Linked DNA regions of Drosophila melanogaster. Each later gene encodes a partner of the first gene's protein in a complex. Each region holds a gene or a part of one and is shown in the gene's direction. Other genes may lie near its edges.

Region 1 (4,766 bases):
CCCATAGCTCGAGGCTGCCGTCTGCTTGTAAAATCCATCTCCGTTGCTGACGATATCTATGGGTTTGCTGCTGCCCAACGACAAACCAGTTGCCTCGCCGCTATCTCCGCTGCTGCTGCAGTAACTCTCCCGGGTGTTGCTCACGTAGGAGCCCAGTTTCACCTCGACCTTCGGCGGTATCATGTTGCCAAAAAAGGCGGCCACGCTGTTGGGAGTCGTTGATATCTGCGGCTGCTGCTGAGCGCTGGACGCACGGGATGTTTGTGGTGTTCTGGATGACGAAACAAATATAAAAGTTAGATGAAACCTATTTTAAATACGACGCTCAGTTGGCACAAGACCTATCTGAAACGACTGTTGCTTTTTATCAGTAATAAAGGTAATTTACTCATTTCGTATCTCAAGGTTGGTAAGTTTAAACATAAAGATGGCTTCAAAATGAAATGAAATAAACACAATCGTGCTGACTGCAAAAATCTTCATACTTTTTTTTTTTATAAAGAGCTAACAATTAATTTAAATTATTGGCATTGCACAATCGTTTAATGGGCCATATTACCTAAGGGTGCCATTTGAGCCGTTGGTCTCGATTAGCTTCAGCTGATGCATCTTATCGCTTAGCGCCGAATTGAAGTTGCCACGTGGGCCCGAAGAACTCGATGCTCCGCCAGCCGCTACCCGTCCATTGTCGTTGGCCCTTGACCGCGGCGTCGATGGCAGATCCTGTTCTCGTTCCTGCTCCTGGAACTGCTGTTTCTGTTGCTGCTGGAGTTGTAGCTGCTGCTGCTGCTGCTGGAGTTGGAGCTGCTGCTGCTTGCCCAGGATGTTGGAGAAGTGGGGCAGCTTGACGGGCGTGGGCTTGTTGACCACTGGCGGCGGCGCCGTGTGCCCATCCAGATCTTGCTTTGCGGGCTCGATGAGATCGATGCTGCGAATGTCCGTGCACTTGAGGACCACCTCGGCGTTCTGCTTTCGCAGCGGCACGCCATTGCGGAAAGCCCTCACAATGGTGATCTCCTCGGCAGAAATCTGCTTGATCAGGCCCTGGAAGACGCCCAGGACCTCGTCGCAGGCTATAGACACTGCACAGCCGATCCAGTCTTGATCCGTCGGACCCATGTAATCAGTTTTCGATACTCCCTTTGCGAATGCGACAACACGTTGGATCGGCTTGTTCTGCCCTGGCTAATGGTTGTTCGAAATGTTTGCTGGCCCGCGCAGAGCTGCTTGTTGTTTTCGTTTCTAATACGCAATTTCGCCACTAACTAACTACGCACCACGCACCTCTCTTCCTCTTCTTCCTGCTGCTGCACCGCCGTTGATTCTAGTGTTTTGTGGCTTAAAGTCGGGTGTTTTTGAATTATTTGGCTCTGCGGTCAAGGGGTTCGGTATTTTGTCTCTTTTAATCAATAAATGCACCAACCGTTGCAACACATTGACGCTAAAACTTATTGGATTTCTCGTTTCATTGGGATTTTCACTGCTTGCGTGTGGCCGTTCGTTGGTGTTCAGATAATACCGAACAATACCCAAACTAGCTGCGTGGCAAATTAGTTTACTTAATAAATTTATAATAATATACATATTTATAATAACTACAAATTTCATGCTTTACGGAAACTTCACCTTATTTTGATAAATATTTGGTTCAATAAAAGCCTGCGAGCCATTTTATGAATTTAACAAGTGCTTCCCTTAACTGTTAAGGCTTCTGGGTGCTGTGGTATGTTCTCAGTGCGCGTACACGGTCACTCTGGCAGTTTTGTTCTCGATTTTGTCGCCGTTTTGTGCATTTTTCCCGTCCGGTGTTTAAATTTTATTTAATACTGCGCGTGCGACATATATACAGGCACCTATAGCCGACCGATATCGGCGATTAAGGCATGTGCGCCGCCGAAGCGGTCAAAGTGATAATCGCTTGAATAGTGAGCAGTGTAGAATTTGCCGTGTGATAGAAGTACGTGATGATTTTCCGCAAATAGTGGATAAAGGCGAGCCCACACGCATACCACCGCAAAATATATACATAAATCGGGCGAAAATATAGTGGCCCGTGTTTGTGCGTGTGTAAACGTAAGTGGAAAACTTGGGCGAAACTTTATGCTAACCATAAATGGTCTACAAAGACATGGCTTCGCGCCTGGCTAATTATCAAGAAAATGTTTGGCTTTTGTGCTCTATCACCCACACCTCATTCACACAACACACACACTAGAAACACGCTTGCACGGGGGCAGGGCGGCAGACAGAGATGGCATCTAGCACAAGTACCGTTGTTCACTTTGTTTGCTGTCTTTGTTGTCTGTTCGCTTTTCTTTCCTTCGCTTCTGTACACCCTTCCCCCTCTTGTTACCTTATGGCAGCCTCCTCTTCTTCTTCTTCGTGTCATTTATCGCTTAATTTGCACTTCCGCTTTGCACATATTCACCCTCTCTCCTTCCGTCATTCTTTCATTGCAGAAGCTTCTCTAAAAGAAACAAACAACAACAACACAACAATGTCGGCACGTTCCAGCGGCTTGGTGGCCGCGGCGGCCCTTCCCGTCCCGTCGTCTTCTTCCTCGGTGGCCGGCGGCGACGTGCCACGCCCGCCGCCCCGCCGGCGAGCGGCCTCTGTTGCGGGACAACAGCAAACGCGCCAGGAATTTGGAAATGGTTACACTCCTCGCAGATCGTTGGCAGCAGTGGTAAGTTTACATAAGTGCAGGTGACGACGAAAAGAGAGAGCTTTACCTTGAAGGACAACTTAGGAACTCTTCTAACATCTTAGGAATTTTGTAGGAGCACCTTATGGTTACAACCTTATTTCACAACGCATCCAACTCTGATTGAAAAATTTCATTCCATTTTTGATAAAGCCAGTTAACTAATTATGGGTTATATAAACGCGTATGTATCAAATTAAGTTATCATAACACCAAATAGTGACCGTGGCACCTATATGTTTATCAATTTTTAATAGATAGTAAGGTATTACTTACTATGACATCTTATAAGATACTCTTATCAATTGTTTTGGTTTCGTTGCAAACTGACTAATCAATAAATGTATCTCATTTTAAAGGGCATACCGAAATGTTGTCTTATCAAAACTAAGCCAACCAATTCCTATAACCTTTTATAAGGAATTGCCCACAATGTATCCACCATTTTGTTGGTGTGAAGATTTGAAAAGTATTTATCAACGGGTGGTGCTGGGGGATTTGGTCGCCCTTATCAGTGCCTCCGCTGTATTTAGTGTTTCCATTTTTACGATGTTTTCACTACTAATCTAATCTGCAGATTGCCAAACAGCTGAGTCGTGTAGATGGGCCATGTAGATTTCACTCCCCTCATGGATGATAAAGTGGGATATATGTATGGTGGGAAAAGTAGGGGATCTACAATTCCTTCAGAAGCCGAAAAGCACGAAAAACTTACGAACTGTTCTTATCCAATACCTAGCTTTTACGGTGTAAAGGTCGTTGCATTTCGTCAACCATTAAGTTAGATGTAGTTGTATTTCAGGAGTGACTTCCATAAGTCTTTTTTTAGGAGGGCCTTTAATACAGCACATTACATTTTATCGTTTAGTCATTGTTTGCTTGTACCAATTACTTTATAATGTTAAAGAAAAAGTAGCTTTTTTGCGGATTTTTTAAAATCGAATAACATTTCTTGACTTGCACTTTCCGAAGAGCAGAAAAGTGCCAAGAAAAGTATTAGGAAGCCGCCAGAAAATAAACTGGCATCATCGTTGTTTACTTAGTGTCTGGAATGGGCTTTTCTATTGTTTTGCTCACTTGTATAAACAAATAATTCGCTCGCCATCTCAGGCCGAACGGAAACTAAACTAATTTATTTATCTTAATTTGCCAAAGATGCTAGCCACTTGAGCAGTCATCGGCATCTTCGAAGCTAATTTAATTTATCAACACAATTCTTGGCCGCCGCCTCTTGAATGTTGTGTGTCTACACTTTATGGTTTTCTGGCTGCACAGAGAGAAAAATATTGTTTTAACTTTTAATACCTAGGCTATGTTTAATGGTTTATAAAAGTATTTTAATTTCTAACAGAACTCGCAGAATTATATTATTCATAGTTTCTAAACGTATTATGAACTGACATTTTGTTTTGTGTTTCTTTTACTTTCTTTTTTAGTATCCCAGTGTTGGTTGTTTGCTCTGTTTGCTTTCACTCAATGAGCGATTATTTGACGGCACTTCAATTCTGTTTGTCGAACTCATTGAAGCGTTGTCAGAATGGCTCGAAATTCCTGTCCAAAAAGTGGGAGGTGTATGAATGAATGGCTTATCTTCATTAGTGCTTTTTTTGCCGCAAAAGTTGTATGCCCCCGCTAATTGAGCTCTGTTATTTGGGTTATTTAATCCAATTTGCACGTCAGCCGGCAAGCGGTGACGTCGGCCAATCGACGCACTTGTAAGAACAGTCGACGTCACAATTGCCTTAGCGGATAGCCTTAATGGGCCGCTTATCAGTCAACAGCTGGTCAATTACATCCATTGAATCCATTGCGTCAGCAGTCAGAACATTCTCATGTCTATTATAAGTGATTATACGCTATTTAGCTGAACATTATTAATGGAATTGGAGGGATTCCCAGCCCAAAATACAAATTTCACACAGATACGCACGCACACATAGATAGTCCACTCACATCAACGCACGGCGCAGCCGATCAGCTGTTTTTGTTTTGTTTTGCTTAAAGACACTTGTTCGATGGCAGCTGTCAACAGTGGGAGTGAGAAAACGCGAGAGGAAGACAA
Region 2 (8,051 bases), 1.8 Mb from region 1:
TGTTGGAAAATATCGTTCGGGGTTGGTTTTCCATCCGAGCAGATTGAATGCGACAAGTCAAGTGATGTGAATTTAATTTGCATTGCCATCAAAATTGGATTACAAACGAAGAAATGCGAACAAATGTTATTGAAAGCTCAAAGAGGAATTCCAACAAATCAAATTGTGTGATGACATTTTTTGTGGTATTCTACAAAGGTGGTATACAAGTGAATTATTTCGAGTGTTTGCGAGTATAGTTTGCATTTGTGAGTGGGCTAGCATAAGAAAATATTTGTGATGCCAAACTTAATTCCATTGTTTGCTAAAATTGTACAAAAGCATTTATTTCATGCTTTAAAAATATATAAAATTATTAAAATGATTATTCTTATTGTACAGCCTGATTTATATTAAGTCCCACTTATTTTGTTACCACTACGAATTTCGACTACACCAAAGACCAACAAGTTATTAAATATACCAAGGAAATGATTATTTTCTAGCTGCATTTAGGCCATCAAAGTTTCCCTGAACTACCCAACGTACTGAAGTATGCCCGCAAACACGCATTGATTAAAATCGCTGCAGTTAAAACTTATGCTCAAGTTCAAAATTAGTCGAAAGCTAATTAACGATAAGCTCGGCTTGCCAAAGTGCAGTGCAGAAGTTTTCGCCTGGGCTCGGAAAAGTTTTTAATGCATTTATCGAGTGACTTTGGTCTCTAGCTAAGTGCTTATTATCGGGCATCTATTTCAATTTCCCCCTGGCAATTACGAGGCAGTCGAAACTACACATTGTAGTTGTCGGGAAAAACTACGTATTTTCCAGCCGCCCAAGACCTCTGACATTTTGAAACACCCACAACACACCGTGTGACCTTTAACCCAGGGCAGTTCAAAGGCAACTGCCATCGACTGCTCATTTTTAGTTTGGTTTTGCGCCAGGGAAATGGGAAAATTCACTCACCAGAGAGAGCGAGAAAAACTGCAAAAGAGAGAGAGAGAGAGAGAGAGTGCGCAATCAAGTGGGAGAAAATTTCCCTTTTTGAGTCCAAGTCTCTCCGAGAAGAACCGGTTTTCGAGTGGGTTTTCGAATGACATTGGAGTGAGTTCGGGTGCAGTGCATTTGTTCCACTTTCTGAGCAGGATATTTTTGGCACGTTTTTGTGTCGTCGGAGCCTTTTGTGCATTGAGTTTTTGCCACACTGCCGGCTTATGGTCAGCATGAGCAGAAATGAAGCGTGCTGTGGGTCGAATCCCCTTCCTGATTTTTTGTTGTTTTGTACCCCATTTTAGCCTTTTTGGAAGCAACAGCAACTGCTGGCAGCAGGAAGCATTGCGGTATCCTGACGCTCGAGGGACTCATAATGGTCGAGATTTTGAGTTCTGGTTACAGTTTGGGCTCTGGGCTACTTTAAAGCCAGTGAAAACTGGGTTAGTTTAAGATGGCTAAAAGCTAGACGTCACATAATTTCCATAAATTCTTCATGGCCCAAACAAAACTTTTAGCTGGCCATAATTCTTCGTTTGATTTGGCGCAAACTTCGCGCTCAGGCTTATCAAATGCCTCAGAACCCCTTTTTGCCTTTCATTAAAATCAGCACAGACTGAAACTTTGCCACAAAGCAATTTGCTGGAAAAACACAAGACCGAAAAGCGTTGGAAAAACTTTAAACAACGAACGTGACCGAGGTGAAGTTTTCCCTTCTTAACAGCGTTTTTTTCTCTGGTTTTCGTACGGAAAATATAGTTTTTGGTCAAACTAGGTCAGCTGGAGAGCAAAAAATAAGGCAGGGAGAAGGCGAAAGGACGTCAAACATTTAAAAACATAAAAGACATGCCAGAAATTGCATGCTTCTTTAAGCAAGGACTTGACTTGATTTCTTGAGTGCCTCGCCCACGACTCACTCAAGAGCGAGTGAATCGAGAAAATGAGTGAGTGGAATGGCAAATTTCCCGCATGGCATGGCATTCTCAGCGACCCGATGTAGGTATTATGCTCTGCCAGCTAGCAGTCAGTCAACTTATAGCCGCTCCAGCGAACGGACGCACCGAAAATCGAGCTATAGAAACTCTACGGCAAATAAAAAACCCGAAATCGAACCCATGACTTATATATAGAGCCAAACGATTTGTTTACGTGTCGTGACGCGAGTGTGCCAGCAGTTGTGTGCGTGTGCCAGACGCAAGCAGAAAATAAAGTTTACAAATTAAAATAAATCAAAGGCAATCACCATGATTAGCACCACGGATTATCCAACAGTGGAGACCACCACAACTGCCGAAGAGCTCTATGCGGAGTACATATCCGCGCCGGCCAGCAGCATGAGTCCCGCTGCAATTGCCGAGCACCTGCAGCAGAATCAGATCACCTTCGAGATACCCAGTGCCCACGATCTGCGACACATCGACGCCCTCAACTCCTTCAACGCCCTGCTCCAGAGGATTGGCAACGCAGCGGTGTCCTACGATCCCGCTCCACCCAGCGGCTGGTCTCCGGATGGCAGCATCAGCACCGAGCAGCTCTCCAAGTCGGTGGTTCTGGATCTGGCCGACTTGCGGGATAGGTCCGAGGAATCGGGCGAATCCTCGTGGTGGAGCCAGATCTTCGGGGATGCCGACATGCATGTGATCATCAATTATCTGTGGATCGGAGTGGTCAGCTCGCTGGTCATTCTGTCGCTGGTCTTCATCCTCTTCAGCTGCTACTTCTACAGGAAGTTCCGCACTTGGAAAAAATGCAGTAAGTTTCAGTCGGACAGCCACCCAAATATAATCCCCACTCATTTTCCGCCCCCAAAATGCCATACATCTGGCTTTTATGTGCTCGACTTTAATCAAAATGTTTCGCCAAAGCCTTATCTCCGGCCATTTATTCAGCTGGCTAAACAATATAAAATGCAGAAACAGAAAGAGCAACCGAAACAGGTCCCACCACCACCCATCGGTTCCATCAGCTTGGGAGCTTTGCTCCATAGAGCTCCTATGGCCGCAAAGCCTCATAAATTTTTTGGCGCGCTTCGAAATTGTCAGCCAGCCGTTTGCATCGTTCTGTTGTAATTTTAGATACACAAGTTTATTATGCCACAAAATATATGTGCCGCATATTTATAATATTAAATTGACTCGCCTCGGAGGCATTGTGCCCCTTTTATGATAGCGATAATGTACGAGCTGGAGAATATGGACGACCTCGTCGACCCTTCTCCCTCGAAAAATTGGAATTGTTGCCCCGAAATTTGTTTTGCAGGCGAAAGGCGTGAAATTGTGCCTTGATATTTATATATTTTGTTTTGGGGGCCGAGGCGGTAAAGAGTAATATAATAAAATAATGATGGACCATATCACTCAGCTGCGTAGCTAAAGTCTGAGGAAATGTGGCCTTTGTAAGTGGGCGAGATTGTAAAATATTTATTTTGTTTGATATTAGTTTAGGACCTAGAAACATTAAAAATTGAATTTCATATTTTTCTGACATCTCTCACACTTTTAGTTCAGCTCTGGCAGTCCAGTATTAAATCCAAAATCAATCAAGTTTGACACAACTGTTATCAAAATCCCACCTAAATCCGACCCAGATTACCAACACTCAACCCAAATAGAGCCCATGTAAATATATATCTTATCTGCTCGAAACCTGTTGATCCCAATCCCAAAAATAAATCATATGTTTAGGCACTTTACACATAATTACGGAGCACCACAACAAAGAACCCAACTCATACTAAACCAAACAGAACTGAACAGAACCTAAATGGAATTGTATTGGAGGGGCTGGCTAAACAACCTACACAACTAACAAGACTCCGACTCAAGTGTCAAACTTTTTGCAGACCAATTTAGCCAAATGATTTATTTAGGCCGGGCAGCAAGTGAAGGACTACGGCCAGGAGCAAACTTTCGTCCTGTTCCTGGGACTGTGAGCACAACTTCTTGGGCCAAAGGGCCGTGGCCTTAAAGCCTGGCCAACTCAACTGTCAAACTGTCAATTTTGTGCTAACGAGCCTTAAAAACTTTGCCCTGCGATTACGACACGCGACCAAGAAGGGTGGATCCGGAAAGCTCCATTTATATATATATATATATATACGTGAAATATCAATTTGAGCGATATGTGTTGCCTGCTTTCGGCCGTCCAATGCGTCTAATTAGTTTCGTTAGTGTCGTGTTCTGTGCTTCTATTTTTTTTTTGTGTGCTCTTCCCTGGTCCTATGGCCCAGATAGATAGCAAGTGGTTGGTGGGATAGGTTGCCCGGGATACTGGGATACTGGGATACGAGAAGTACGTGTGTCATTTATAATTAAGCAACTAGGCCGGAGTTCACTTCGGCTTTTGTGCATTTAATGCCAGCTACGTGGCGTCTCGCAGTGTTTACCTTATAAATGCTTAACGAGGCCCAAACACAAGAGTGTCTGGCCCAGTTGCCATTCAGCCAGCCAGGCAGCCAGGCTTACACCTTATTTATTAAACTGTCACACACACTGGCGATGGCAAACTTTCGGTCCTTTGGCTTTGGCTTGTTATCAATTAGTGCAGCGGAGGACTACGACTGAATTTATTAACAGACCAGATGAAGTTACTAAATTAAAGCCAAAGCCAAGCCGAGGAGCAACAGCCACTGTTTATCATGTTGTATAGGTCCTGCATAATTTAGTTGCGTAAAAATGTAATTAAGCGTAGCATATTTGCCCAAGACCAGAAAAAGTTGCTCTTAGCCCGGCAGTCCTTTTAAATTTTTAATGGTTTTCGTAGCGAGCAGCGCAGAAAAACTAGAAGCTGCTCTCTTTTTCGGCCATGGAAAATATTTTAGTTGCTTTGGTAGTTTTTTACCCCCATTTTGGCAAACTCAAATTGAGTGCTGTAATTAACCAAATTGTTTTGTAGCCGACCAGCACTTAGTGGTATGGGAAAGGCATACATAATAGAGCTGGCAAAAGTTTTAATGGCTGAGACTGCATCTTTTGTGTGGGAAAAATGGAAACACTCGAAATCGAATACCCATTTCAATGGGCGGCTTAATAACAATTGAAAGCAGCTTAAATACAATGATCATAATTCTTAAATAAAAAACTCCACTCAGATCGAATAAAGCCAGAAAAGTTGGGGCGTTTAAAAAATTAACAGACATTTATGGCAACACAAAATAAAGCAGCTCACTGCTTTCCATTTGCCAGTTTCCATTCGAGAGTGCCAGCTTATTGCGATGAATTTAAATTGTTGCATACATTTGGGCGCATCGACAACAGAAATGGGGAAAAAAGACAGGATACAAATGCAAAAATAAAGAGAAAGAAGGCAAAGTGCCAATGCAGCTGAAAAACAAAAGGCATCAACGAATGGCGTTAATTTTTTTTTGCCAACCGCACAGAGAGCGAAATAAAAACTAAATTTTGTATCTAAATATTTGTTCCGTTAGTGATATTTTATTTTCCTCAAAATAACATCACTAACTGGTTTGCATAATAGAAAGTGAATAAAAAAAAGACATTTGATATCACCATAGGACTTCTAGTTAGTAATATAAATTTTCTGCGTGCATCGGCCACCTTTTTCCCGATTTTCCGACTTTCTTTGCGTCCATCTGCAATGCTTGAAGCGGCTGAGTTGGTGGATGGGGAGGGGGGGGTACACCTTTTTCAGGGGCGGCTGTTTGTTCAACACTTGCATAAAATATGAAGCCTGCAGTCTGTGTATGAGTGGGCCACGCCCCCTTAGTCCAGGGCCCCGTTTGCCGGCTGTCTATCAAACAGAGAGCAAGGAAAAAAGCACGGAAACAAAAGTCGAAAAAGGGAAAACAAAGAGACAGAGTCCTCATGTAGGGTGTTCTGGCCGAAAAAAAGGATTTATATATGTGTGTGTGTGTGTTACAGTTATAACAATAAATCAACAACTGCTGGCAGCCACTGTAACTGCTGACTGGTTCTGCTACCGCTGCGTTTTAATATTGTAATGCGCAAATTTTTCAACAGGCTTTACCCCATGCCACAAAAACCGAAATACCGACCACCTTTCCTTCCTGCGAGATGCGCTTTAATTGAAAAAGCGTTTTCGGGAACAGAGAATTTATGAAAAATACAGCCTGAACAATTAAAAAATTGCCGAGTTTTTCCACAGCGAGGCGGCAACCAAATTAAATGACACAAAAAATGGACAGAGGCGATCCCCTATTTATTTATTGAATGCAGTTTAAATTGCATTTAATAATACTGAATACCTGCCACTTTTTGCAATGCCACATATGCTGGGCCGAAATTCTATTTGAGGCAAATTATTGCTTCATGCATTTTTAATCTGCTGTAACTCAAAATACAACCAAATTAAATTCTTTGATGGCCTCGGCTTAGAGCGCGTGTGCATGGAAATTGGAATTTTCCAATCTTAATTTAACTCTGCTTAATTTGAAACATGCACACACACACACACTCAAGCACACACACATGGACAGCAGCTGCGGCATTATAAAAATTAAATGCTTTCTGCTGCCTACTTTCCGGGGCTGTCGAGCTTTTATTTCATTGCAGTTGGCAGTTGGCGAACGTGTATGTGTGAGCCTGTGTGTCTGTGTGTATGCGAGAGAGTATTTTATTTCATTCCATTCTGCCACGCGCGCACTTCCGGCATATTATTGCCTAGTTGCTGTTGTTGCTTGGGTGGCAGTCAGTCCGCTGTGAAGGAACTTCGCCTGTCCTGCCATCCTCGCCGGCATTTCCGGTCAGCACAAAACTTTCCGCTTCCCCTTTTTTGCCATTTTTTTCGCCTTTTTTTTTGCCTCTGCATTCGGGAAAGTTCAAGCGTTTGCGCCTTTACGCTAAATTGAATTTAATGCCACGGGCCCGTCCTTCTACAAATGTCCTTTGACATGGACAAACAAAGTAATGACAGAGTCAAAACTTTGATGCCTGATTGGGAAGCACCCATTCCGCTATTCCTACACAGCAAGAAATGAAAAAAAATAGTATCATGAAATAAATTTTAAACAAAAACGAATTTTAATTTTAACTATTAGTTACGTGGAATATTGTTATATCTCAATGTTTAAAGAATCTTAATTTGTGCTTTCTGCATTGCTTGCCCCAAAAAGTCCCTTTTTTTTCTCTGTCCATCTAAACAATAGAAACTTTCTGGTGACAAACTCAACTAACAAACTCCGTCTTCTGTTTATTGCAGATAAGGACATACGTGCCCAGATCCATGCGGCCAGTGACTCGTACTCCTCGCACCTGGTTGGTTGCGATGCCAGCAGACTGCTGTTGCACCAGCAGATGCAGCATCCACATCATCGGAGCAGCGAGGCTGGGTTCTACCAAATCGAATCGCCGCCCTGCTACACAATCGCCACCGGATTGCCCAGCTACGATGAGGCACTGCATCATCAGCCTCGGCACTTTGCCTACGGCATGAAGTTCGTTTATCCCTCGTTGGCGGCCGTGCATCATCATCACCATTGCATTTCCAATTGGGAGAAGCAGGAGCCGCTGAATAAGCTGCAAAAGTGCAAGCTGTCAGCGGCAGCGGCAGTGGAGGAGGATAAAGCCGACTCCTCATCGTCCACGTCTGCATCCGCGTCGCCATCCTCTTCGGAATCCAGCAACTTGGCCACAGCAACGCCTGCCATTTGCATTAACATGCCAAGTGGGCGGCAGGATGAGGAGGTGGATAATTCAGATTCCGATTCCGCAATTGCAGTTGCAGTGGCAGTAGCACAAAGTTTACAGCCGGCGGCGCCTGCCGACGATGATTGCGCCTCATTGGTCGTTGTTGTTGCCGCGTGATTGCCCACCCAGGGGTCAGAGGTCAGGGAATAAGGGGTCAGTCGAGGGTTTAGGGCCGGGAGTAGCAGCCCAATTGCTTAGTCACTTGTAAATAGTTGCATCGTCTGCTAATGTTGTTTGCCCCATGTAATAACATATATCTCCGAGAATGTACCCTCTCCCTCCCTCTAAGAAAATTTAGTTTTGGTTTTTAGTTATCTGTTATATATTATTGTATTACGCAAGACTGAGTATTATTTATTGTACTATGTATAAAACCGAATTGTCTATCGATTAAGCCCTAATATCTAAGCGAGA

Evidence for each region.
Region 2: the proteins of Nedd4 (region 1) and comm are in contact, whole or in part, in an NMR structure (PDB 2EZ5), measured with the Drosophila melanogaster proteins. Residues at the interface, in NP_648993.1 of Drosophila melanogaster: Gln538, Ala540, Pro541, Asn542, Phe546, Ile548, Asp549, Arg553, Arg554, Thr555, Thr556, Trp557; in NP_001261891.1 of Drosophila melanogaster: Thr227 (codon at 7,320), Gly228 (codon at 7,323), Leu229 (codon at 7,326), Pro230 (codon at 7,329), Ser231 (codon at 7,332), Tyr232 (codon at 7,335), Ala235 (codon at 7,344), Leu236 (codon at 7,347).

What each region holds. Positions count from the first base shown.
Region 1 is NT_037436.4:17,528,350-17,533,115, forward strand, and holds the start of Nedd4 (Nedd4), read left to right. Parts: upstream 1-1,731; 5' UTR 1,732-2,073; intron 2,074-2,459; 5' UTR 2,460-2,497; coding exon 2,498-2,686; intron 2,687-4,766. Other genes in the region: Edc3 (enhancer of decapping 3), read right to left, coding at 1-271, 560-1,119. UniProt on the Drosophila melanogaster protein: Essential E3 ubiquitin-protein ligase which accepts ubiquitin from an E2 ubiquitin-conjugating enzyme in the form of a thioester and then directly transfers the ubiquitin to targeted substrates.
Region 2 is NT_037436.4:15,722,370-15,730,420, reverse strand, and holds the start of comm (commissureless), read left to right. Parts: upstream 1-1,990; 5' UTR 1,991-2,216; coding exon 2,217-2,724; intron 2,725-7,149; coding exon 7,150-7,754; 3' UTR 7,755-8,051. UniProt on the Drosophila melanogaster protein: Controls axon guidance across the CNS midline by preventing the delivery of Robo to the growth cone.